Neurospora crassa OR74A: one gene and its partners. The main gene of each other region encodes a partner of the protein of the gene in region 4 in a complex. Links are inferred from orthologs where the notes say so. Each region holds a gene or a part of one and is shown on either strand. Other genes may lie near its edges. The genes, in order: NCU09880, NCU01614, NCU06354, NCU08395, NCU03778, NCU03625 and NCU00505.

Region 1 (3,701 bases), on a different chromosome or scaffold from region 4:
CGAGTGCGATGAAATCGTGTTCCTTGGCAAGGCGCGCGCGCCGCTCTTTGCGCTCGCGGATCTCGGCTTCGGTGAGGACATGGGCTGCTGGGGCATCGCCAGTGAGCGCTAGGGGCATGTCGCGGGATTGAACAATCATGGCGCCGTCAAGCTCAGAGGGGTCGAGGTCCATGGCGTCGCCCGTTGTCCCGGGCGCGGCAGATGCCTCCGGCAACGGTGCGCTGTGGGTTTTGAGGCTGTCGTCGTCATCGTCGTCGATGATGCTTAGCGAGGCGAGATTCTGTGGTGTGGCTGGCGTGGAGCTTTGGAGTTCTTCAAGGTATTCTTTGCTGTACCGAGGCTTCTCTTCGTCGGCGCCAAATGTGCCGAATCGTGCGGTCAGGGCGGACTTGCGAAGCGCGTTCTTCTCGGCAACTCGTTGGCTCAGCGACTTTTTGCTTGGGGCGCTGACCACGTCGCTGCTGGCAGTTGTTGTCGTATCATTGCCGCCATCTTCCGTGTCGCCCTCGCTGGCTCCGAATGATAGTTTTGAGATGCGCTTCTTCTTGCTGGAGACTGAGCGGCCGAAACCGGGCCGTACTACGAGCGGCACACCAGTGTCCTCCTCGGCTTCTGTTACCTCGGGTGCCGTACTTGTGCTGGTTGACGTAGGTTGGATTGCGTCGCCGCTGGTTTCTTGTGGATTATCGTTACCGTCGTTGATCTTGATCGTTCTTCGTAGTGACGAAGATTTAGTAGGCTTGCTGCGCCCAAACTTGGTCGGTCCTTGCGGTACTGGTTCTGTTCGAAGGCGTATCAGCTTGCTTGTTCTTTGGTTTGGTATCAGCACTGAGATTTTCTATGCTGGAAAGGGATGGGCATGGCCATATAGCAACTTACGTTCGTTCTTCGGCTCCTCTCCTCCAAGCACCGTAGGAAGGTCGCCATCCTCATCGTCAAAGGTCTGGATAATGCGTGGCTTGCGCTTTCCAAAAGAGCTCATTTTTGTGATGATCGACTTGAGTAAAGTGTAGAATGGAAGTAGGTTGTCTGACAGGGAGTTTGTAATACAGTGATGTAGTATTGAGGCGGGCGTGTTGTTTACAGGTAAGTTTGTAGTGCAAAAAGGTGTCCAGACAGCTAGGAAGCTTCGAAATGCACCCTGGAGAATGACGCTGGTGGGCGACTGGATGTCACCACTGCACTGAACACTGCAATCACCCAAAGACGGGCAACGCGAATTGCGGTTTCTTATCTTATCAGTGTCCCCACGTGATGGCCTGGCGGCCGAAAATCACTGGGGATGGTCGCGATTGCACGCGCTGCACAAGGCCCGCCTTCCAGGTTGTTTCAGTGGAGAGTTCCCAGCCAGAACGACGCCATTGCCATTCATTGCAGCAACTCTCTCGAGACCATCCCAGACAACCAACACAACCTCAAGATACAATGGCGCCCGCACAACCTGAACTGAAGAAGGTAAGAACTTACTCTTGGAGAATTGCCTTTCACGCTGAATGGCAGCTGGCTGGTCGAGACTATGCCATTGTCGCATCTCGAACTCCATGTTATTGTTTGTTTAGTATGGTGTAGTGAGCTAACCGACCACTTTCCAACCAGTACCTCGACAAGAGGCTCTTCGTCCAACTCAACGGCAGCCGCAAGGTCATTGGTGTTCTCCGTGGCTACGATGTACGAGATCTCCCCTTTACGAATTCGAACATGATGATTGACGGTTCGCGACGTCATAGGTCTTCTTGAACATTGTTTTGGACGATGCTGTTGAGGAGAAGGATGGTGGTGAGAAGGTCAAGCTTGGCATGGTGGTATGTTTATCATTGTAGAAAGGTGCTGACGTGTCTCCTGCTGACGAATGTGCACACAGACCATTCGTGGTAACTCCGTTGTGATGATGGAGGCTCTCGAGAGAATCGGCGGCGATGAGAGGGGAGGACAGCGCGGCTAATCAACAATCATCTTCTCGCAACACGATAAAACGACCCTGCGCATCTACAAACGCCTACATCAAAAGGCGAGGCATCGGAATAAGCGGATGGCAATTGACGGGATTTGACTATATACCAAGGCGATTTACACTTTACGACGACATCTACAGTGTTCCACGCGGTCTTGGACGGTGAAAAGCTAGGTGGGTTGGCTGGTACGGCGTTCAGTTTCACACGAGGCATGTATTCGGGAAAGCTGCATTATCTTCAACTTAGAAAGGGAAACATCTGCGGCGGTGGTCGAAGAAAAGATACCCAAAGGATTTTTTTGTTTTTCATCACGTACAGCTCTTCTCCGACAACAGCTGCTTCCACGTCTTCTCGTCATAACCGTCCACCATGCGGTCGCCGTACATCCGCACCCAGCCTCGAATCCCGCCCGTCATGACCTGCGACTGAAGATCGCCGCCTACTTCGTTGATATAGTCTTGCATCCAGGCGGCACATCGAGGGCCCCGACCAGCGGAGGAGCCTGGGGGAAGAAGCATCGGTGTTAGAGAGGGTCGGCGGTAGAGGTACGAGTTCAAAAGAGCATAGGATTGATTGGACTCTGTCCCAAGAGTCAATGACAGAGAAAGTCAAACACGTACCACAATAGAAGACCACCTTTTGGATCCCGGCCTGTTTGCACAAAGCGTACAAGCTCTTGCGCGTGGGGAAGAAGCTGTGGGCGGGCAGGTTGATTGATGAGCTGACAGTTCCCCCGGCGCAGTCTGTCCGGCGACAATCGACAAGCAGCAATCTGCGCGATTGGGGCATGTCATCGACATGTTCTTGCTGCTCAAGAAGCTCGAGGACAGTCTGGGGCTCGATATGGACCGGCGTCGAAGTTGGCTCTGGAAATGCTGCCCACCACGGTGTACCATCCTCGCGCCTAGCCATGCGCAAGCAGTGTTCGTGAACGTGTATCGTCATGTTGAGGCCGTTGCTGAGTTGGTTTCTCATTGACTGATTTCTTAGGTTAAGCGGAAGAAATGTACCGTTGATGCATTGTCCGGTATATGAAGGGCAGTCAGGGGTAAACTCTTTGTTTGCCACACTGGATTGGGGCGGCTCTGAGATCTAGTCACATCTTTCAGCAAGCCACGCCGCCAATACTCATCTCGCGGGACATGTCCTCGGCAGTCACGTCCTATCATAAATCACTTGTCTCGTACGATCGGATCCTCTGATGCCGTAGATGGGATACCGCATCCGGAGGTAGTCCTTCCTATCCTATTACTCCATGGAGTTTTTCAGGAGATCGCGGCTAAGGGGGGACGACAAGATGATTTCTTCACCAGCTCATCAACGCGACATACTGCCTGGTCTCGTCGCTTCTATGCAATTTAGTAACCATGAGCATGTTATTTTTCTTATTACCCATATTCATGCCCCTCGCCATTTACCCGTAGATAACTGATAGCTCCGACATCTTGGTTTACTCGGCCCGGCATATAGGGGGATATCACATAACGAATTGTTGAGGTGTGTAAGTTGCAGCACCAGGACACCTGCGACAAAGCGCACCAATCAATATACATGTCGTTGTATGGAAGATTGATAAAAGGTTAAACCACGGCGTTTATAAGGTATACAGTAGCAAGACGCTCCCTCCAACAGCCCAGCGACACCTGAGAGCTATTCTGATTTATACGTCACGGCGTAACTTCCACCAAAGAATGCCCACATCTCCCAAATCAGTCTGTGCTCGCTTCGTTGTTCCATTCATTCATCATA
Region 2 (3,413 bases), on a different chromosome or scaffold from region 4:
GAGCAAGGACATGATTTCCTGGTTCCCGATTTTCTTCCCTCTTAGGGTGAGTTTTTATCTCTTCTTCCTTCATTTCTTGTTTTTCTTGACTTTTCGCTCCTCGCTCCTGCTTTGGTGACGATTACTGACCCTGTTTCTTCGACGATACATAGCAACCCCTCTACTTCCCTCAGGACACCGAGCTAGAAGTCAGCATGTGGCGCCAGACCGACGACACCAGGGTGTGGTACGAGTGGATGGTTGAAGTGTATGCTTGGGTGGGTCCCAAGACCCGTATCAAGGTTGGCGCTTCTGAGATGCATAGCAGTCGTAAGGTTGCCTGCATTTTTGGTTAGAAGAGAGGAAATGTAAAAACGGAGGTAACTAGGTACCAGTAGGTGGTGGGCAAGGCTGGCTAGGTCGGGTGTTAGGAGTGTGTAAGTATGCAGCTGTAACAAACGCTGCGAGGAAAAGGTCAAAAGTCTTGTTTTAGCGAAAGAATAAAAGATTCGAAGTCAAATGGTGGATAGAATGTTCATAATTGGGAAGGCGCGCGATGTGTATGATGATGGTGACTGTCTTTGCCTGTAGTCGTGTGATGTATAGGCAAGTGGAAGTTGAGACTAACAGAAATTCACGCCGCTCGTTCTCTTTTTCTTTCAGTTGAAATAATACCTGGAAACCAGACGCCATGTCCGCATGTCTAACTCAACCCGCCACTTCCTTTTCTTTGCTCAGTACCTAGATGATGTGTGGTCTTGACAGATTTTTGTTTCTTTCTTTCCTGTTAAGCTGAGTATTGTTCCAACATCTTATTTTAGCCTTTATCTTCAAGGAAAGGCCAGATGGCACATGCTCCTTTGACGGTCTTGCGCAGGAGATGCAACGAAGGTCTCTACCAGACAGAGAGACGCTCGGTACCCATCCATCCATCCATCCACCGTTCACTCTCTCTTGAAGCAAATCCGCCCTTCCGTACCACTCTCCACACCATGCGCGCCCGATATCATCAAAGCTGTTGTCGCACCTTTCGTGAAGCGCACACTTTCATCATTGGGAAACGAGTTTTCGGCGAGCGGGTGCGTTGTGGTTTGTGCTTCGGTTCGGCTCGGTTTGGTTTGGTCGGTAGAGTAGATCCATCTCTTCTTCTTCTTCTTTTTTCCTCCCAGGGTATTATAGTCGGAACATCACGACCCTCCCTCCTCACACATTCCTCCTGTCTGTTCTGCAAATCGCGCCCTTCACCACCCTGCCCGCTAGTCTAGGCTACCCTTTCATTTCCTCCTCCTGGTGGCGAGAGAACTTTCACTCTTCCATCTTGACGTCGCCACTTGTTTCCGCCTCGTCGGCCTTCTTGATGTAGAGAACGTTGTTACACCTATTGTTGAAGTCCATAATGTCAGCATCCCGGCTAGTTGATACGAGATGGGGGATTGGGTCGTCCGTATGGAAAGCCGTAGCAGTGGGATGTATTCAGTATGGACGTACCTGATCAGAACCTGCCCCAAGGCGCCCGTAAACTTGCGGTTGATGTACTCCTTTGTGTCGCTGAGCTGAATGTTCATGTAGCTATCGATGCTCTGTTGTTCACATGCACACACGCATTTCGTCAGCCTCTCTCTCTTTGTTCTTCCTTCGTTGCTCCTTGGTCCTGCCTGCTGGTTTCCCCCTCCCCTCCCCTCCCCATCGCTTCCCACAGCTGTGTATGCCAAGACCAAAGTCCAGCGGCAAAGGGAAGGCTAGATTGGAAGAAAGATGCTGGATATGTATATATATACGTACAACAAGACGGCCAACATACTCCGTCTCTCCCCACTTCAAGCGGATCGTCACAAAGCTGTTGACGAGATCTTGAAGGAAGGGACGGGGGTTAACTGGGACAAAAGACATGTTGTCGGTTTCGGTTCGAAGGGTTGGTTCTTGGTCAAGTGCGTGGCGCCTTGTGTGTGTATTCACAGGCTTGCTGTTGTTGTTGTTGTTGTTGTCGTCGATGGGACGGCTCGAAAGTTGGATTCGCGATTCGGCTTGGTGCTAATGGAATTTTGTATTTGTCGGTTTTCTTAGATGTGTAAGAGTGGGTTGTGGTCGGGTGGACGCAACAAGGTCGAGGTTATGGTTATGAAAAGTTGGGAAGAGAGATGGGATTGGCGTTGATGCTATGATGGAAGAAGCTCCAACTGGGACTGTGCCTCCAATGCTGGACCTTTGCGGCGTTGGAGTAGCGCGACGATGGAAGTTCCTCTGTTACGAGGGACATGTGGAGCCCTAACGCGATAGCTGATTGGACGTGGCAATAAGCCTGTCTGATTAGTAGATTACAGGGTTAGGGTTGGTGGCTAGAGGATACTTGATGTTGTTGACAGCGACGATGATGAGCATCACCAAGACCTTTATGGCGATCCTTTTGCTTATCATTACTCAGGTACATAGCTTAGTGTATTCTTTCACTTCTTCACTCAAGTTTACCTGGTGACATCTCTCCCTGATTATTTCCGATGCCCACTTACACCTTCAGGTCAAGACCCTCGAAGACGCCGATGTTTTGAAACGAAATGGAAGGGGACTGTTCAGGACCTGACAGGAAGTCATTTTGAATTAATAAAGTCCCATACTGGGTGAAGATATTTTACTCAATCTCCTCAATCCTAGGTCTACCGCCGAACATCTCAACACCGCCACTACTTCCACCACTATCATCACCACCATGGGAAACCGACCTCTCCGGGTCGACAACCAACCCAGCCAGCTTCGTTAACCCACCACCACCGAACCCTCCTCCTCTTGCCTGGCTCAACGACACTTCATCCACCAAGCTATTCGTCTTCCAATTCTCCAAGCTCTCCAGCACATCCCGACAATACTCCCTGACCAACCCATCCTCGTCCGTCTGCTCCACATACCCCAAAATCGTCCTCAGCTGCTCCTGCGTCTCACTCCCAAACGCAATCCCCAACACCCTCCCCTCGTGCTTCGCCTCGTCCATGGCCTTGATAAAGCTCATAATCAGCCTCACCGCCGCCCTCCTGAGTATCCCCTTCTCCAGCTGCCGCTCTACCTGCACAACATTAATGCACAGATCCACGCTCGCCATCGTCAACACCGCCGCGACACCAACAATATTCGTCTCGATGCAATTCGCCAGAATTGACAACGCAGAGGCACGGATCCTTACATCCTCTTCACCCGTTTTGGAAGTACCAGACGACCACCCTTCTACAATCGCCTCCAAGATATCAAGCCTAGCCTGCTCCTCAGCAGAAATCGGATCCGCCATATCCGGCACGCTGCCGTCCCACGCGTCTTCGGCTTCTTTATGCTTCTGTTCCCGCGCCTTAGCCTCGCGCGCTTGGCGCGCCATGGTCTTGGGCCGATGCCCCCGGCGCGATGCCAGGCTGATCAGGGCTTCGCATGTCATCTTGGCTAGGTCGCCGGTG
Region 3 (2,751 bases), on a different chromosome or scaffold from region 4:
TACTGCCAGCGCAGACTAAATCCGCAATTGCAGGTTCTGTGGTCTTCAACACTCTGAGGAACTTCAAGCCCTACGTAGACGCCAAACGGGTCAGCGTGTTCCTGTCCATGCCCACGGGCGAGATCCAGACCGATGGCATCGTCAGGCACGCTCTAGAGTCCGGCAAGGAGGTTTTCATCCCGTATCTTCACAAGAACCCTCTGGCCTCGCCCAACCTCCCAGCCCGCGTCATGGACATGGTCCGCCTCAGAGATCTTCACGACTATGAGTCCCTCAAGCCAGACAGATGGGGCATTCCCAGCATCGACCCGGCCACGGTCCATGAGCGGCAGAGGGTGTTTGGAGGTCCCGACGCCCACCACTCCGACCAAACCCTGCTTGACTTGATCCTCATGCCCGGCGTGGCCTTCGACATTGACCCGGAAGCTGGGGCCATCAGACGGCTCGGACACGGCAAAGGCTTCTACGACTACTTCATCAACCGGCACAACCAAAAGTCTGTCGAGCTGGGGAAGCAGGAAACCCCTGTATTGCTTTATGGCTTAGCGCTGTCTGAGCAGTTTCTATCCTCTCCATCCGAGGGGTCGGTACCTGTTGGTCGCCACGATCAACCTCTGGACGGCCTGATACTCGGAAATGGCGAGATTAAGAGCCCTCCTGCACCCAAATAGTTCCATGACCTGATATCCATCCCGTACTGCCTTCCTTTGATCAAATACATATAGTCGACATTCCTGTGCGCCTCGGCCAATCGCTTTTCCCTGGTATCTCTTTCGTAGATTCGGTGTCGTTTGTTGTGTAGAAGGCCACGCACCACATCTTTGTGGGCCGTCTATGTACAGCTTTAGATCTGCTGGCTCGTCGCTCGATGTAGGTCCCAGCGTAAATTGCATCGTCGATTACCGCTTCTCCTTCAGGTTTGGAGCTCTTCACCCGGAGTAGCTCTGGATGAGCGAGACATTGTCGCCCTTCAGGAGGATTTGCTGCGACCCAGTTAGCCACCCTTTCCACTGCCACAACAACATCGACGTCCAGCCCTAAACATATTCTTACCCCAAGCTCCCTCCTCTCCTCCGTCTCGTTTGTCTTGGAGACCAGCTTGACCTCAATCGCATTGTCGATCTGTGGAAATGGGGTTAGGTCTCGTAGTGCTAGTGGGACATGCGCCGCTACTCACCACCAGGTTCATGAACTCGTCGAAGCCCTGTAAGACGGAATTGTCAGCACCTATGTTTGCTCTTCGGGGAGGTCACGATGGAGAATCCTACACGAATGGTGCCGATGATGCGAATGTGAAGCTGCTCGTACAGCCAGATTTGGACGGTCGAGTGTTGTTGCAAAAGACGGAAGAGGAAGTTGATGGGAGGAAGAAGAACACGGCGGTTGCCGCCACCACCTCTGCCGGTCATGTTGAGAATAAAAGTTTGTTGTGGTTTGGTCGTTTGGCCGGTGTTTAGGACAGAAGTTTGATGGTGATGTGGAGGCTGAACAAGTAAGTCGCAATCAAGTTGTGGATGGTCGTTGTTGGTCGGCTGGGCTTGGCTTGCAGTTGTTCCCAGACGCGTTCTCTCTACGGCCGGGACGTGACTTCAATGAATTTCCCCCGAATGTCGAATTGCCTGCCTGTCTGTCTCTGGCGTGTGGAGCTCTTGTTTTCACAAGCACCTCCCGCCGGGGACGGGACGGGAGCTGCTCAGCTGGTCTGTGCACTTAGTTACATGCTGCTGGGCCCACAGCGTCGTGTCATAACCTCTTGGCATTCAGCTCAATTCACTTTTTCCGAGCTGCTTGGGTTCTCAAGCCACAGAATCTTCAGTTTGGGGTAGCATGAGCCCCTCCCGCTTGTCCCACTTATGGCGGTGCAGGATGTGCTTCCACTTTCTTTGACCCGCTTGCCCGCCGCCGTTTACTCCACTCGCGGTCGGTCGGTGTCAGGCAGCCTGACGTTCTTCGATTGTTGGCGGGATGTTTTTCAATCGTCGTTTCTTTGGACGCTCAAGAGCAAATCGTCGCCGGCAACCTCCAACTTGCAGCAATCCTGTCACCACGGCGGCACCGTACAATACCTCCCAGTCCTTTATTCTTGCAACCTCTCTGGAGCTTCATATACCCCGTGCGCATCGCAGCTCCTCGCCTTTACAACAACATATCCTGAAAGCTTCCATCGCGTCGCAAGACCGATAAGTCGGACAACACTCCTGTCGAATAGGAGGGGCTGATCCATCCACTTTGCGACCTGCGATACCCCAGCGATAGCTTCCACTTGCAACACCGCATCGCAACACTTGCCATCACAACACTTGTATTCGAGCTAAATCACATCATACACAATCCGAAGCTGCCCAACATGGCTTCCAACGGCGCCACAGACGGCTTCACCACCCCAAATGTCCTGCAGGCCATGCTGACGATGCGGAGTGGTGACTCCGGTTCCAAGAAGGCCGCCATGGACTACCTGCAAAAGTTTCAGAAGTCGGTCAGTTGGGCTTTCAGCTCCTTCGACGCCAACACACCTATGGTTCGCATGTGACTAACCCGCATTTCTCAATCGACCGTAGAACGAGGCCTGGACTACCACAATATCGATCTTGCAGGGCTCTCCCGAAGCCGAGGCGCAACTCTTCGCAGCAACGACACTGAAGGGCAAGGTACTTACAGATACCCATTGGATCACGACGATACCGCTACGCTTGTATGTCGCGCACCGCTGACATTCACGATTCTCAGATTACCTACGACCTCGCAACGCAA
Region 4 (4,183 bases):
CCCGCCCCCATACTACCTCCTCTCACAGTTCCAAAACAATCCCGAAGAGCCGTACTGCAAAGGCTGCGGCAAGCTCATTGACCCCAAGCGCACCTTTGGCACCACTGGAGCTCCCGCGTCAACTGCTGCAAGCCAGAAGCAGGGAGCAGGCAAAAGCAAGGGATTCAAGCGTGGCGGTAAAGACCAGGACAAGGAAGACGAGAAGCCAGGCCAACTCCAGCAACAGGAAGTCAGCAGGTTCTGCACGTCGAGATGTCGCAGTGAGTCCCAACACAAGAAGCGGGACATAAAAGAGCAGGAAAGGCAGATCGAGGAGACGTACGTCAAGTTGTTGCAGGGGCAGATGGTGGACGGTATGGAGCAACTTGCCGATGGCCAAGCGGACGGGAAGAAGAAGGGGAAGAATGGTGGAGTGAAGCCAAAGAAGGGAGAGGGAAGAGTGGTAACGCTGGAAGAGGTGGAGACAATTGTCTTCGGAAGGGAGAAGGACGCCGAAAAGGTGTATGGGAGGAAGAAGAACCGGAAGTCGAGGGCCTTGACAAGCGTGGGGCCCAATGACGAGGACACTATTACCTCTACAGACGAAGAGTCTCAGTCAACCTCAACAAAAGCCGGCAGACCATCGAGTAGAGATTCGGCAATCGGCGGCATCCAGATTGATGCTCTGCAGTTGGGCGACAAAGCTTTTGACGATGAGATAGCCCCGCTACCCAAGGGCAAATCCCATCCGTACACCACGGGCGGCCATGAGGTCGCTCGTCTGGCTGTCCGCAGCGGCACGCGCATTCGTCCTCCCCAAGAGGTCTCCGAAGTGAACGGCAGCGTGGGCGGAGAAAAGGGCCGGGCGGAGCGGAAGGCAGAAAGCGAGGAAATGAAGGAAGAAATCAGACAGAAGAAAGCGGAGGGGGACAGAAAGGCGCAACAAAAGGAGATGATCAAGTCGGTGGCGAGAAGAGGAGTGGTGTTTGGGTTTGATGTGCCGTCTTCTCCTGATGGCAACAAGAAAACGTGCGAGTGCGTGATGCCAGGAGGCAAGGTCGTCGAGCCACACTTTGCCAAGGGTAATTGGGGAATTCGATGGAGGGGTGACTAAAGTGTACCTTGCCGCACTTGGACAAGTACAACTAAGTTCGCGGGAGTGATAAAACTTTATGTCAGAGTAAACGAATGAACCAGAGACAAAGTACTATGTAGAACGGTGACGACGACGAGGTTGGTGATGAGTGAACCAAAGTCGCAGCTGCACACGGCACGCCAAGTGGAAGCCCGTCCTCCCTTGGTTCCGGCCAGTTCGATGTCTTATCGATAAGGTGCTTATTATGTAAGCCAGCCGTAGAGGTTAGGTTGTGTAAGTAGCAGTGGGGAATTTCGACGAGCTTCGACCGCAGTCGCGTCGCAATCGACATCATCATCATCCATCGTCTCTCAACATTCGATTTCTTGTTCAACCATTTACACCCTCTACGGGATTTCGCCCTCTGATTTTCGCCATATCCGACATTGATATCAATAGTAATCGTTCACGGAACCACCGAATCTCGCTCAACAACTTCCACAATCACCATGGGCTCCATCGTCCTTCCCCATCTCGAGACCGGCTGGCACGTCGACCAAGCCATTCTAAGCGAAGACGAGCGTGTGGTGGTTATCCGTTTCGGCCGCGATCACAGCCCCGACTGCATGCGCCAAGATGAAGTACTCTATCGCATCGCCGACAAGGTCAAGAACTTTGCAGTCATGTACGTCTCCCTCCGGCCTCGATCCCACTCTTCCATCAACACCTGCTGACCCATCGCCACACCACCAGTTACCTCTGCGATATTGACAAGGTTCCTGATTTCAACCAGATGTACGAGTTATACGACGAATGCACCCTCATGTTGTAAGTACTACTTCGGCCTGATCACCATTTTGAGTTGCGAGACAGTCACTGACAATCTTTGGTTGCACAGCTTCTTCCGAAATAAACACATGATGATTGATCTCGGCACCGGTGACAACAACAAGATCAAATGGGTACTGGAAGACAAACAAGAACTGATCGATATCATCGAGACGGTCTACCGCGGCGCGAAGAAGGGACGCGGTTTGGTGGTTAGTCCCAAGGATTACTCGACCAGACATCGCTACTAGAAGGGCGAATAACGACAGGAGCAACAACAACAACAACAACAACAACGAGAACGACTCCCCAAGATCTGGCAGACGCAAAATTCCGCGGTACGGGGTTTACTCGACGAAGTAACAACAAGTTCAAGGCGAAGCGACAGAGGAGGGTTTCTGGAGGCTGCTGGGGAGCCTGGAGTTGGTTCCCGTGACTCAGCCCTGCTCTGGAATTCATTTACCACGGGCATCTTGCGGCGTAATCAAATGGATAAACGGCTGTTAACTCGGCGACGAATAAGTGATGGTTGGCTTGGGCCCACGCCGAGCCGCGAGCTGCCTTTGAGGAATTAGCACGCGAGCGTGGAAAAAAAACAAAGGCAAGCGGAACCATATCGATTGGGCATCGAATGTACCTAGCTAATGCTGAGCAGAACCGGCCAGAGAAATTGATTCCATCGTACCTACCGACGGAATCCTTGCGATACCGTCCAAGTGATTCATCACTGTTCACTGGGCTGCACGTGAATGTTCACGGAATGCCATAGGCTGTTTTACAGGCTTGTCCTTTACAGGCCTCGTTGGTGATATCTTGAGGATCCGAAACCGAGACTGGCGCTGCTCGGTATCTCTGTATCGTACCACCCCGTTACTCGGGGATGGCGAGATCGACAATTGCCGTCCCGTTTCAGCGGAATCGCGATATTCGCAGATCTGCAGTTCAGTCCAGGGTGTACGGCTGGCAGAACCTTCATGCTATTCTAGTTCTTGGATAGCAAGAGATGGACTCGTCCAACCCCCTGGACAGCATCATTGTCTGTCACTGACCGTTCCCTTGGTACAGTAGGATCTGAAACATAAACATTGTTCGCACGTATCACATGTCACCTAATACCCAAAACGAGTGGCACCTTTGTCACACAGACGGCATCGGGAATGACAAACAATGAAAGTACCTCAACCATTCGGAAGCCACTCTGTTCTCGGTGTCAGCCTCTTTCGCGATGGCGCTCTTCGTTTTTCAATGCCATGCATAGGCGCAAAGACGTTTTCCGGGCGGGCGGTCTAAACCCAATCCTGAAAGGGGCGTTATGGGTGCGTGTGAAGCGACCGGGCAGCCGTTGGTTTGGCGGGTTTCAGGGGTAAGGGTTGGGGGGGGGGGGGGGGGGGGGCTCAACTTTATTTTCGCTTCACCGGTTCCCTCTTTCTCCCCGTCACAGTGAAGAAGGCGATGGGCTTTTTGGACGCTTTGACAAAATGACGAGAATTTCAAGCTCTGGAAACGATCCGTCCACAACGTCATCGGGAGTCCTGGCTTTGGAATGATATGTCGAAGTGTAGTTTGGTTTCTTCTCTTTTTTTTTGAACTGGTCCACTATGGGGTATCAGGTCTCGTCTTTCTCTTCCTTTCAAGCCTGATGACAACCGAACGTTTCCCGTTAGCATTGTACAACTGCGGTGAGGGTGGCTTTGTGTTCCAACCATATGTTTCTTTGCCATCTGGCCATGGACAGGAAAAGGAGACAAACAACTACCAAGGCGCAATACTACCGCCCCTTTCCCATTTCATACACGTCATTTCTTCAATCGCATCTTAAACAGTATACTCCGGTTCTAGCATACTCTGCATACTCATCCTCTCGAATGGCCCTCGCTCGGGATAGGCGTAAAGAGTACCCAAATGATGCAGAATCGGCAATGTCAAAAGCTGTGTAACTTGGTCTCGAATCTGGTCAGGGGGCGACGAGGGCATGGAGGGGTCCAGGTCCAGCTCCCTTTTCCCACCAAGGCGGCCCGCCTTCAGGGGTCTCCCTGCCCGCCCGGCTTGCTGCCTCCATTTGGTGCCTGCCCGCCGTTAGTTAGAGCCTAGAGGTAGCCGGGGGCCGCTGAGCGTTATGTATCGCTGTCTCCGTCAGTGCCGCCCTCGCTCCCTGTTCACGGCATCCCTGTCTGTCCCTGCACTGGTTTGGCGGTGCCTCCACTGTTTGGCTGGCGACCACAGTCTGGGACTCCCCGTCGTACGAGACCAAAATAATGTGGTGAAACCAGCTGCACCGTTGATTGATCATTTTCCTGTCGT
Region 5 (3,197 bases), on a different chromosome or scaffold from region 4:
GTCGGTGGAGGGGAGTCGGACAAGAAAGCTGCTGATGAAAATGCCTGGGCCGCAGCCCTCAAACTGAGCTGTGAGGCCCTGTCCAAGTACACGCCCGCTCGTCCCGGTGACCGCACCCTGGTTGATGCCCTCTATCCCTTTGTCGATGCGCTCGAAAAGACCGGTGATGTGAAGAAGGCGGCCGAGGCTGCCAAGCAGGGAGCTGAGGGCACCAAGGGTATGAAGGCCAAGTTGGGCCGCACCGTCTACATTGGCGGGTCCGGATTCGAGCAGGTGCCGGATCCGGGCGCTTGGGGATTGGCCAAGTTCTTCCTTGGACTGGCTGGAATTGAAAAGGCTGATGATTCCAGTGCTAAGCAGGCCAAGGGATCGGATGATGGATGGGAGGAGGTTACAAGAGAGGCGGAATTGCCGTAAGAATTGGTGCTGTATGTGATCTCGATATACCCCTAGGTAGTTAGTTTGCACCACCATTTCAATGACGTACCAGGAACACCAATACAAATCATCCCGTTGCTTGTCGTTAAAAAGCACGAGAAAACATGACCGCGTCTGCGAAAACCTAAACACGGTCTGGGTATTCTGTTCGATCAAGTTACCAGAAATGAAAGATAAAAAGTTAAACAAAACCAAATACACGTTTGAACGCCGAGCTCACACTAGTTTTCCCTTTGTATGACCTTCCTAATAGCCCCTGAAAATCTGCTTGGGTTTCTCTTCTTTCCTCTCGTTCCTGCGCGGCGCCTTTTCACGGGGCGTTTTGAATTGCTTTCGTGGTTGTGTCGTCATCATGGTCGATCGAGCGGTTGAGTAGTAGTAAGGTGATATAGTCCGCATGTCTCTCGATTCAGTCGACCAACAATAGGTACCCTTCCCGGGCTCATCCCCACTCCATTCGAGCCATTAACCCTAAGTTGTGCTGGCGCGTGTCTTCGCCGTGCAAGTGAAATAAACCTCCAACCTATACATTTTGCCGTGCTATTCGTGAACTAGCTGAGGAGGACAAGGATGACGGAGTCGCCTCTCAGGAACCTGCCAGGAAAGTGAAACATGTCAGCCATTGATCTTCGCTTCTCCTGGGCGAGAGAAACAACAGATGAAAAGGAAGTGCACAAACATCTTGCTGATAAACCTGTCCTTGTTTACGGGCTTGCCCTTCTTGCCATTGGCCAGTCGGGGCGTCTCGGTCCACATCTCCTTGACGTTCTCCAGCACCATGTTCATGTGGCGATCGAAAGCCTTGACGCGCGCAAGGATCTTGCGCCCATTGCGGACGGAAATGAGGACTTGGGAGTGGCTGCGGACGGCGGTCTGGAGGATGGACTGCCAAAAAGGGTGTCATATTAGTCGCTGCTCCGTGTCGAAGGGGTGGTAGATCAAGGCTTATGGGGCATATGTACCAGAGGACCGGCGGAGAACTCGTGCTCTTCGAGGAGAGAAACTTCGTATTCACTGTATCAGACGAGTTGGTTAGCTTTGTGATTTGGCTGGGCGGGCGTCGTGGTCTTGGGTCGCAAAGAGGAGGAGCTGGGAGCAGCAGGGCGGGCGAGATGACGATGGTAACAGAGGGAGGTGATGTTGACAAGAGGATATAACGTACGTAAGCTCATTGCGCGGCTTCGTGAGAAGCTCCCTGTATAGTAGACAGTTGTTAGTCAAGTTGGTTTCCTTGAAGCGTCCATGGGCTGCCCGCGCACATGGGTTGATGCTGGAGAGTGGGATAGCTACTGACTGAATCTTTGCATCCGCTGAAGCCATGACGATGGTGTTTTGGTCTAGAGTTGAATTGGAGTGGTACTGAAATGTAGGAGGGGCAAATGAGTTGTAGTTTTGTCTTTGTATCAAAAATGGTTGTTGACGTCGAGTGGTTGCTTCGCGTGGTATGGGTTGGTGGTGTACGGTAGAAGCCTGGACAATAGTTGCTGTAATGGATGCTATCGCTATCTTCAATCCACGACGGGAAATGTTGCAGCAGCGGAGGGCCAGGCGCGGCGGCGACTCGGAGCGTGGAGCAGCTACAGCACACGCGCCAAGCTTTTCTGGGAACAGAACCGTCTTCAAAGTTTGGCGATTGGATGACAAGCTCACGGTGGATCCCAATGCGAAAGGCTGAGGACCGCTCCGGTGACAGGTGCTGCCAGCCCCGCCGAACCCGACATGCTCCCCCGGACAGCCGGGACATCGGGTTTCCAGTGAGCGGAGGGCCCGAGCGTCGCTTCTGGAAAATGACAAGTTTGAATGGATAGAGGTATCATCGGCCGGAGGATATTCCAGCTTCTAGCGATAGCGGCGGGGATTCGGCAGGTTCCACAGCTACCTCTACACTATGTATTAGCTCCCCCGTACCTAACCCCGCCCCGGGGATTGCCAGGCGCGGTGCCCTTGAAAATCAATTGAAGCTGGAGCTCCATTTCGCGTTGAATTCCAGCAAAAAGTGGATTTGCAGATACTCTCGCTATCACTTATCACGGTTCCTGCATCCACGCGGCATTCAGATCATTGGTGATTGTTCTCCCGTTTTCCCTTTCCCAGCCCAGGAAAACGAGTCCCGAAAAAAAGTGCCCGAGTCCCTTGGCCGGTCTATGATGCAACAACGGTGCTAAACAGCCTCGGGGTGGATTTTGGACTTAGTATTTTTCTTCCATATTGACCCTGGGTCTTGTTATTCCATTCCTATTCTAGACAAAGCCAGCCAGCCAGCCAATTACCGAAGTGTACATCGATGTTGGTCTCCAAGTCCATTGCCAGCCGCGCCGGCTTGGCTTCTGCTGTTGCTTCTCGCAGCTGCCGACCAAGCTTCACCGCGATGCCGCTCAGAGCCAAAGTCCTGGGCCAGCAGGCCCCAGTAAGACGCTCCTTGGGAAGACAAAAGCCATGGACACGGACACAGCTAACACGCTCGCCGCCCCCTCCTCCCAGATCTCGACCCAAGCCGCCGCCGAGTTGTTCAAGCCCGTCGAGGGTGACGAGCCCGAGGATGTCCTCTTCAACAGTCTATATAATCTCCGCTCCGTCGAGCTCAACCGCCCAGCCAAGTACAACGCCCTCAATGGCTCCATGATCCGCAAGATCGCGCCCCGTCTCCTCGAATGGGAACGCTCCGATATGGCCAACGTCATCGTCATCAAGGGCTCCGGAGAGAAGGCCTTCTGCGCCGGTGGTGATGTTGCCGCGCTGGCCAAGCAGAACGCCGAGGG
Region 6 (3,773 bases), on a different chromosome or scaffold from region 4:
TGCTACTACTGCTGCTACTACGGAATCAGAGACCAAGGGAAATTGGCCTGCGCATATCCCCTTCACAAGAAACTATCTACTAGCGGAAACTGTTCCGGCCCTGCAAGCACTGGCGCAGAAGCTCGTGCTACAGTCATCAACATTAGCGGGAGCCACCACGGCACTCGGCGGCATGTCCTGGCTCTCTGGATTCGGAATATATGAGTGTGGAGCCGTCGCCGCCTTGGGTATTGTTTTGAGTTTGAGGGGCTTGCAGAAAAGGTGGGAGAGGGCGAGAGATTTCTGGGAGGGCGAGGTTCGTGAGGAAGGACGCAAGGCTATTCGCGCAACCGAAGCCAGCATTGCCGAGGTGCTGGATAGCGTTTCTCCTGAAGTTCCCGAGGATGTGGCGGTTGAGATTGAGGAGCTGAAGGAGGCCAAGAGTGTCCTCAAGCGGGCCGAGGAAGCGCTTGCGAGGCTGAAGTAGAAATGATGGGTTGCAACAGATGTTTAGAAGGACATTCTGCAAACCGAACTTGGTCAGTTTCGGACTTCTTGTGCTTATTATTTTCCACAGCCCTCTCGCCCTGCCTGTTAGTCCCTTAGGTGGGTGTTTTGACAATATGCCCTCTCCAACTCAACCCTTAAACAGCCAGTTGTATATTTAGTCTACACGATTCACTCTCACTCAGAGCATTGTTGCAAGCTCGTCTTATGCGAGCCTCACATATAGGGACAGGCGGGTTAGAACCGGCGGACGCAACAGATCAACCAGGGCTACACTCTTATGTACCATTAAAAAAGCAAGCCGAAGTGGGAGTAAAAAGGGGGCATCGGACTTTTGTGGTAGATATCAAAAACTGTCAGCGTAGGCTGAAGATGGAATGGGTTGTGTGTACAACAACATAATAGACAAAGACGTTGAATACGTACCCTGTCTATATCAGAACCAGGGCTAGTAGGAGTTTCGCTTTCGGTGCGATTCGATCCATGCTGTATGTGCTCGCTCCTTGGCCAAGGACTCAACTGGGGGGAGACCTGAGGCTGGCTGAACACCTGGTTCGCTCTGGCTGCTAACCGTGATGAAGCCAGGTTTTCGTTGCGTGCTGACGGACGGGTAGCGGCTGTTGCATCGACCGACCATTATCGTCCAGCTGGCGGAGCGTGAAAACCCCTGGATACGCCACGCTTCTCCCATGATCATCATTTGGCAGCAGATGGATGAGCGGGGCCAGCTGGCGTCCTCCATATCACTCCTCATCGAGGCTCTCAACCCTCCAATCCCAGCCCCAGCACTCACTCCAGTCCCTTCTCATCTCTGGCCGGCCTTGAGCCACCCTCCTCCCTATCCCTCCTGTTCCTCCTTCTCTGGGCATCCAAAGCTTGCCCCCCACACTTTTCTCTTTCCATCCAACTCGCTGCCCCCCATTTTCGGTAGAAAGAAGATCAAAGTTTGCTTTATTGGTTCCCCCCACCCAAAACGCCTAAAATATCAAAATAGCGGTTGTCGTTGCGCGCGGAAAAAAAAAAGGAGCCATAATATGCCGATTATTGTGCCCCAATATTGCATTCCGTTGTGAAATTTTCAATGATTCTCGGTCTGGGTCTGGTCTTGGTCGATGAGTCTGACGACAGGCGGCGCTCGCTGTCTTCTATCTGGCGCCGCCACGACCACCGGCGCGCGCCCTACTGACTGTCGCACGACCGCGGGCGAGACCGACACCGCGGCCGCGGACGTTGCGGGAGCGGAACATGGGGGCGTTTCTGTATGGGAACACAAAAAAAAGAGGAGGAGGAAATGATTAGCTTGGGTCCTATCCGACTTATTGGGTAGGTAGGGGGCAACTGGGGAGAAGAATCGCAACGGATGAGTTGGTGGTGGCCTGGTTTGAACGTACCTCAACATATCCGGCACAATAAAGAATCGCACATGACTGCCGCGGATGTAGACTTGTTCGAGATGGCTGACGCGCCCGTCGCGGGCTGTGACGGTGATGTCCTTGAGTTGGACGTTCATGTTGTCCTCGGCTGTTTTGCGGGGGAGCGCATTGGTTAGCATGGCTGGCCAGTTTAGAGGAGTGAATGGGAATGAAGAGTTCATGGGGGTTAGCAGTACCTTCGATAAGCTTGCCACGGTAGGTCTGGCCGGAGGTGATCTCGAGAGTGACGATATGGCCCTGTGGGACAGGAGTGGTTGGTTAGCTTTTGGCAGCACTACAGTCTGTGCATAGCAATGGTGTTTACTTACCTGAGCCTCATTGAGGAGCTTGATGGGGATACCAATTGTGGAAGTCATGTTGGCGGCTGTGTTATTACGTGGTGAGGTTGGTTGGCGATGTGGAGGGGCGAACTGATCTTTCTTGGTGTTGGTTTTAGAGATTACCTAGATGGTATGCCGTAAGTACAGGCGACTTGGTTCGCGATGATAGTGGATGCGATCAGTTGCCTTTGACGTGAACGCGGCAGCCCTGTCAGCCCGGTGCTGCTGGGAATTTCGTCGGAGAGCTTAGTTGATCTTGTCAGCTGCAAGACAGCTGCCAGATCTCACGGTACGTACCGCGCATTGAGGTCCTACACTACAAGGAAGTGTGGAGGCTTCCCCACACGCCTCTTCTGCGCTGTCCCCACATTCAGTGAACTGGTGGTCTTCGGTCATCCAAAACCTCGTCATCGTCACTGACATAAACCTTCTTTCTTCAACCCATTGGCAGTAAGTGGAATTTACCGGCCTGCTGTCATACGCTTGTACTCAATCAAAGTATGAACTGTCTGGTTCAGCACCCCGAACGCCGTTATCGCTCAACTTTCCTGGCTCATGTTCCGAGTCGTCGCATGATGGCGGCCGTCACGGGGATGGGATTGTCCAACGCATTGAACACAGCATCCCCAACCTTTTTCTCAATGAGGCCTTCTTCGATGTTCTATACGCTGAATTATGTGAGGTCCTTCGGTTCTCAATTCACCCTTGTCCCCGAATATTGGACAGTCACTCCCCTCCCGCTTTGCCCCATACCACCAGCCAACCGTTGACGAGCAACTCCCACATTCTCGACGGCCTCGTCTAGCCATTGCCTATCAGCCAAGGACGGGACGTGATACAGGACAGAAAACGCCCCTCGACGTTCTCCAGACTTCCTCGCGCCCCGAGAGATGCCGTACCCGGGTCCTTCTGCATCATGCTACTACATACATGCCTCCATCCTCGCTCCCTGTCGGCCACGACCACGGCTTGCACGGCTACGTAGTCCAGCGAGTAAGGGGCCATCTGGCCTTGTCCCATTTTCAAAACGCAGTGACGGGCTGGCCAAGTGGGCCGCCGGCCAATTGCTGTGTTGTCAGCTTGATGCCCAAACCCTATGATCAAACCCCACGAACCGCCCCGGCACCGCTGAATGGGCGAGGCAACTAACCGTCTCAACCTCGAGCTGCGGCAGGTGGGTTTGGCGTGGACTGATCTTCCATAGCACTGGCTGTTATAGGCTGCATGCATGTGCATCGAGAGACCATGATCTGTGTGCGTCTGCTCCTCCGTCTTGGTTGCTCCGAGTTCTCGGTCTTTTCTCTCCACCTTCTTTGTTATCTCGCTGTGTGAGCTGGATCGTGTGGTGATGGTGCGGTACTAGCAAGCTTTGACAAGCTCGACGGCAGCTCCGGTTGCATCCCACCTCCCACCATCATGTCCTCGTCTTTGCCCTGATTGGACGTCTCACCACTCTCCAGGAGGTGTCTGCCAACTTCTAGCGCTGGACGCTACATGACATCTCAGTTCCGAGTGGAAGATCTCTGGTCTGGTC
Region 7 (3,252 bases), on a different chromosome or scaffold from region 4:
TCGTCTCCCCCTTTCGTCCCGGATCGGTAGATGTCCTAGTCTTCAACCCGCCCTACGTCCCTACGCCTGACTTGCCTGCGCCGCCACCGACAGGGTTGCAGGCACTGAAGGAGAAAACGACGTTTGAGGAAGACTCACATCTCTTGGAGTTGACGTATGCTGGAGGGAGGGATGGGATGGAGACGACGGATAGACTGATTGAGGCCTTGCCGGGGGTGTTGAGCGAGAGGGGGGTGGCGTATATTCTGCTTTGTGCGCAGAATAAGCCGGAGGAGGTCAAAGGGAGGATCAGGGTGATGGGTGGTGAAGGGAAGTGGAAGGCAGAGACGGTGGGGACTAGTGGGAGGCAGGCGGGTTGGGAGAAGTTGCAGATTGTGAGGGTTTGGAGGTGAATGGAGGGATGAGATGCTGGTGATGAGTTGAGGATGGGGAGGAAGCTGTTGAAGAGGGTGGAAGAGGGGGAAGGACGATGGTCAGTCACGTACAAGGCTCGAAAATTCTGGGGGAAATTTGGTATAGAGAGTTGCTGATTGTGCCGCCTTCTCCAGTAGGCATATATCGCCGTCTATCTGTTTTGTGATACATAAAATAGTTCATTCCGGTGGCGGTTGGGCGCGCCTTTCTCTCTCTCCCTTCCCGCTAGCAAAGTGATTTTATCCTGTCCAGAACGCCGCAACGAAATCCCAATGCTTGCCCTCTGCTCCGATCCGATGAGGGGGAGTGGTGTTTATGTGTGTAACACTCGATGCGAATGAGGTGAATCTCGAGTGTCGCTCAAGTGAAGATCTGGGATATGCTCCTCGATTTTCTGAAGCGCACTCATCGTCGATTTTGTCGTGTCGTCGCCACCGGACGTTATTTCGGGCCGGCCTTGATCTTCCCTACCAAGACGGTCAAGCCGGTCGACCGAAGGGGGCATAAAAAACCGAAAAAAATCCACCATTAACCGTAGTATAGCATCGTATCGTCTTTGAAAAAAAATCTAATTCGCACGTTTCTGTCGTCCAGGGAGACGTACGCCGTGGCCGATCCCAAAGAAACGAGATCCGCTTAGCCACGGCCACGACCGCGGCCGCGACCCATTCCCCTTCCTCTGCCACGGCCACCACGGCCACCTCTGCCGCCGGCGCTGCGGTCCGCTTCCTTTCTCGCCTTGTTCTTGGGCTTCACGGAATCATCAACTAGCAATGTATCGAGCGGCAAAGAATCGGGGAGTATGAAGTAACGGATGGTCGAGCCCCTGTAGGGTTTCAATAGTTAGTGATGCCCTCGAAAACTGAAAAGGGCCACTCCCCCTTAGTTGAAAGGGTTGATTTACCTAATGTTCATGGCATCTAGAGCCACAGCGTCCTGGCCCTTGGGGGTCATCTTGACGTTGCGAAGCGCAGTGTCCATGCGGGGTGTGACCGAGGCGATAGTGCCGTGTACAATTGTGCCGTTCTTCAACTCAATCGTCACCGTCTCGTTGGCGCATTTCATCAAAAATCTGCAGTGTTGAAGTAACGGATTCCACTTCGTCAGCCTGGTGCCCTTGGTGTTCTTTTTCTAGTAGAGCAGCATGGACGCGCGCGAACACGGGCTGGCAGCCTTGAAGGCGAGGACTCAAAGCTCAGCATGCGTCGTGCAAGAGAATAGGAATGAAGTCGGGTGGGATGGGGTATCGGGTACATGTAGCGAAGTATCAGAAAGCAAGGAGAAATCTTACCTGACCAGCTTCATCTTGACTTATTTGGACAACGCGTAATCGAATATGTGTTGTATGGAATTGGTGGTGACAAGGTCTCGATTACCAGCTTGTTACTTTGTCAATCAACAGTCGCGACGGGAGAAGGCTTGTCGAGCTTCCTTGGACGCTTGCACAACCATCCAAGCGTCAGGGTGGAGCAGATAGCCTGCCGTCGCTACGCGCCAAGATAGAGCCCGTGCTCAATCACGTGAGCCGAGCTGAACAGGCAAACGGCGGCTTGAAAGCCCCTAACCCTGGAAGTCATGGGTTTCAAGCTATCCATAAATTGCCTGCCCTGCACATGATCTGTTCATGTGCTGAGTTGAAGCAACCAGATAATTGGGGTACACGAAGATGGGCTGGCTAACTGCCACGCCGAACAACAAGGTGTTGTTTACTATGACTTTGTCTCTGAAGCTATAGCTGTAGTTGCACAGATCATGATGCCTCATGGCAGGATAAGGACTATGAAACGAACATAGGGCTTACAGCCTTCAACTGCCTCTCCTTTCATCCAATGAAGAACGAAAACAGGGTGGATGTGTAAATGCCATCGTCGCTCAACTCCAACACGAAAGCGGACCATGACACTATTTACAGGATGCCATGGTAACTTCGCTAACACGACATTCGCTTGTACGTTCTGCGTGTGGTCGGTCCCCGCTCAATCGCCAGGATATTCACTTGTCCTTTTCGTTCTCGTTCTCCGAAACCTTCTCCCACTCATCTTCCGTGCTGACGCCGCTCTTAGTGCCCAGGCTCGGTGTCTCCTCAACCACTCTGTGCTTCAGTTCTCCAATCTGCTGGATAGGCTCAACCTCATGGCTGACCGCCTCTGCAATTGACTCCTGCCTCGTGAGGCTAGCTGTCGATGTAGCTGCCTCTACTTCTGTTTCGCTGTCTTCCGATGTGACTGGAGTTGGCGCTGCTTCTTTGGCTCTTCTCGCCTTTTCCTCTTCTTGGATTTGGTGCACCTTCAGTTCCGCCGCGAACCAGTTGATGGATCCCCAGAGTCCACCGCAGAGAGCCGAGAGAATTACGAAGTGGATACTCCATGTCGCAAAGAGGAGGCACGCCAGGACAATTTGCAGAGCGGCAAATGTGACATTTGTCGCGATAAGGAGGGTGGGAGTCGGCCCCGGAGTGAAGATCGACTCCCAGAGATTTGTAACGAAGGATGTCATTGGGAAGATTAGGCTGGCGCTATGTCGGCGTTGAAAAGTTTGACCGTGAAGGTATGTCGTGTAGAGGAAAATTCTTGTTGTCGATTCGTGTTCAGGACGATGCGCCGTGGAAGCGATGCGGACAAACGAAGAGACAAACTCGCAGTAAAGTCAATGGTTCGTAGTGGATGACTACAGTCGAAGAGAGGGTTAGTCACGGCCTCACAACCTTTATAAATGACGAGGGACAGAAGGCAGGGGACGGATGAGGATGTGCAGCCCAACCAGACAAAGCCCGTAGGGCCGAAGAGCTGGTCACCCGCCGAGAGGACAGGGCCATGGATACCAGATCACAAGACACGG

The links.
Region 1: NCU08395 (region 4) and NCU09880 share a complex: the UniProt entries of both Saccharomyces cerevisiae proteins name them as parts of the U4/U6-U5 tri-snRNP complex. The link is inferred for Neurospora crassa OR74A from reciprocal best matches to the Saccharomyces cerevisiae genes DIB1 and SMX2.
Region 2: NCU08395 (region 4) and NCU01614 share a complex: the UniProt entries of both Saccharomyces cerevisiae proteins name them as parts of the U4/U6-U5 tri-snRNP complex. The link is inferred for Neurospora crassa OR74A from reciprocal best matches to the Saccharomyces cerevisiae genes DIB1 and SMX3.
Region 3: NCU08395 (region 4) and NCU06354 share a complex: the UniProt entries of both Saccharomyces cerevisiae proteins name them as parts of the U4/U6-U5 tri-snRNP complex. The link is inferred for Neurospora crassa OR74A from reciprocal best matches to the Saccharomyces cerevisiae genes DIB1 and SME1.
Region 5: NCU08395 (region 4) and NCU03778 share a complex: the UniProt entries of both Saccharomyces cerevisiae proteins name them as parts of the U4/U6-U5 tri-snRNP complex. The link is inferred for Neurospora crassa OR74A from reciprocal best matches to the Saccharomyces cerevisiae genes DIB1 and SMD2.
Region 6: NCU08395 (region 4) and NCU03625 share a complex: the UniProt entries of both Saccharomyces cerevisiae proteins name them as parts of the U4/U6-U5 tri-snRNP complex. The link is inferred for Neurospora crassa OR74A from reciprocal best matches to the Saccharomyces cerevisiae genes DIB1 and SMD3.
Region 7: NCU08395 (region 4) and NCU00505 share a complex: the UniProt entries of both Saccharomyces cerevisiae proteins name them as parts of the U4/U6-U5 tri-snRNP complex. The link is inferred for Neurospora crassa OR74A from reciprocal best matches to the Saccharomyces cerevisiae genes DIB1 and SMD1.

What each region holds. Positions count from the first base shown.
Region 1 is NC_026501.1:6,357,876-6,361,576, reverse strand, and holds NCU09880 (small nuclear ribonucleoprotein SmG), read left to right. Parts: upstream 1-1,311; 5' UTR 1,312-1,425; coding exon 1,426-1,455; intron 1,456-1,596; coding exon 1,597-1,668; intron 1,669-1,727; coding exon 1,728-1,802; intron 1,803-1,861; coding exon 1,862-1,942; 3' UTR 1,943-2,260; coding exon of another isoform or gene 2,261-2,454; 3' UTR 2,455-2,572; coding exon of another isoform or gene 2,573-2,897; 3' UTR 2,898-3,201; downstream 3,202-3,701. Other genes in the region: NCU09879 (hypothetical protein), read right to left, coding at 1-780, 880-982; NCU10125 (hypothetical protein), read right to left, coding at 2,261-2,454, 2,573-2,897; NCU09881 (hypothetical protein), read right to left, coding at 3,690-3,701. UniProt on the Saccharomyces cerevisiae protein: Plays a role in pre-mRNA splicing as a core component of the spliceosomal U1, U2, U4 and U5 small nuclear ribonucleoproteins (snRNPs), the building blocks of the spliceosome.
Region 2 is NC_026502.1:2,951,739-2,955,151, reverse strand, and holds NCU01614 (hypothetical protein), read right to left. Parts: upstream 2,181-3,413; 5' UTR 1,870-2,180; coding exon 1,762-1,869; intron 1,560-1,761; coding exon 1,468-1,559; intron 1,358-1,467; coding exon 1,285-1,357; 3' UTR 501-1,284; downstream 1-500. Other genes in the region: pp-2 (protein arginine N-methyltransferase HSL7), read left to right, coding at 1-46, 153-335; NCU01615 (hypothetical protein), read right to left, coding at 2,606-3,413. UniProt on the Saccharomyces cerevisiae protein: Plays a role in pre-mRNA splicing as a core component of the spliceosomal U1, U2, U4 and U5 small nuclear ribonucleoproteins (snRNPs), the building blocks of the spliceosome.
Region 3 is NC_026504.1:2,807,277-2,810,027, reverse strand, and holds NCU06354 (small nuclear ribonucleoprotein E), read right to left. Parts: upstream 1,579-2,751; 5' UTR 1,410-1,578; coding exon 1,269-1,409; intron 1,205-1,268; coding exon 1,178-1,204; intron 1,123-1,177; coding exon 1,054-1,122; intron 984-1,053; coding exon 930-983; 3' UTR 672-929; downstream 1-671. Other genes in the region: NCU06353 (hypothetical protein), read left to right, coding at 34-671; NCU06355 (karyopherin), read left to right, coding at 2,348-2,476, 2,559-2,648, 2,728-2,751. UniProt on the Saccharomyces cerevisiae protein: Involved in pre-mRNA splicing. Binds and is required for the stability of snRNA U1, U2, U4 and U5 which contain a highly conserved structural motif called the Sm binding site. Involved in cap modification.
Region 4 is NC_026507.1:1,106,290-1,110,472, reverse strand, and holds NCU08395 (pre-mRNA splicing factor Dim1), read left to right. Parts: upstream 1-1,383; 5' UTR 1,384-1,563; coding exon 1,564-1,739; intron 1,740-1,807; coding exon 1,808-1,882; intron 1,883-1,952; coding exon 1,953-2,133; 3' UTR 2,134-2,483; exon of another isoform or gene 2,484-2,537; 3' UTR 2,538-3,713; downstream 3,714-4,183. Other genes in the region: NCU12034 (hypothetical protein), read left to right, coding at 1-1,093. UniProt on the Saccharomyces cerevisiae protein: Essential role in pre-mRNA splicing. Also essential for entry into mitosis (G2/M progression) as well as for chromosome segregation during mitosis.
Region 5 is NC_026505.1:2,382,706-2,385,902, reverse strand, and holds NCU03778 (small nuclear ribonucleoprotein Sm D2), read right to left. Parts: upstream 1,971-3,197; 5' UTR 1,759-1,970; coding exon 1,733-1,758; intron 1,634-1,732; coding exon 1,601-1,633; intron 1,453-1,600; coding exon 1,401-1,452; intron 1,324-1,400; coding exon 1,118-1,323; intron 1,033-1,117; coding exon 990-1,032; 3' UTR 501-989; downstream 1-500. Other genes in the region: dak-1 (dihydroxyacetone kinase 1), read left to right, coding at 1-417; NCU03777 (mitochondrial 3-hydroxyisobutyryl-CoA hydrolase), read left to right, coding at 2,723-2,845, 2,920-3,197. UniProt on the Saccharomyces cerevisiae protein: Plays a role in pre-mRNA splicing as a core component of the spliceosomal U1, U2, U4 and U5 small nuclear ribonucleoproteins (snRNPs), the building blocks of the spliceosome.
Region 6 is NC_026505.1:1,887,150-1,890,922, forward strand, and holds NCU03625 (small nuclear ribonucleoprotein Sm D3), read right to left. Parts: upstream 2,460-3,773; 5' UTR 2,276-2,459; coding exon 2,228-2,275; intron 2,157-2,227; coding exon 2,096-2,156; intron 2,008-2,095; coding exon 1,878-2,007; intron 1,744-1,877; coding exon 1,632-1,743; 3' UTR 501-1,631; downstream 1-500. Other genes in the region: NCU03624 (hypothetical protein), read left to right, coding at 1-466. UniProt on the Saccharomyces cerevisiae protein: Plays a role in pre-mRNA splicing as a core component of the spliceosomal U1, U2, U4 and U5 small nuclear ribonucleoproteins (snRNPs), the building blocks of the spliceosome. Also binds telomerase RNA and is required for its accumulation.
Region 7 is NC_026501.1:8,193,101-8,196,352, reverse strand, and holds NCU00505 (small nuclear ribonucleoprotein Sm D1), read right to left. Parts: upstream 1,847-3,252; 5' UTR 1,720-1,846; coding exon 1,706-1,719; intron 1,588-1,705; exon of another isoform or gene 1,487-1,587; coding exon 1,319-1,486; intron 1,241-1,318; coding exon 1,051-1,240; 3' UTR 501-1,050; downstream 1-500. Other genes in the region: NCU00504 (hypothetical protein), read left to right, coding at 1-392; pkr1 (ER membrane protein), read right to left, coding at 2,407-2,910. UniProt on the Saccharomyces cerevisiae protein: lays a role in pre-mRNA splicing as a core component of the spliceosomal U1, U2, U4 and U5 small nuclear ribonucleoproteins (snRNPs), the building blocks of the spliceosome. Also binds telomerase RNA and is required for its accumulation.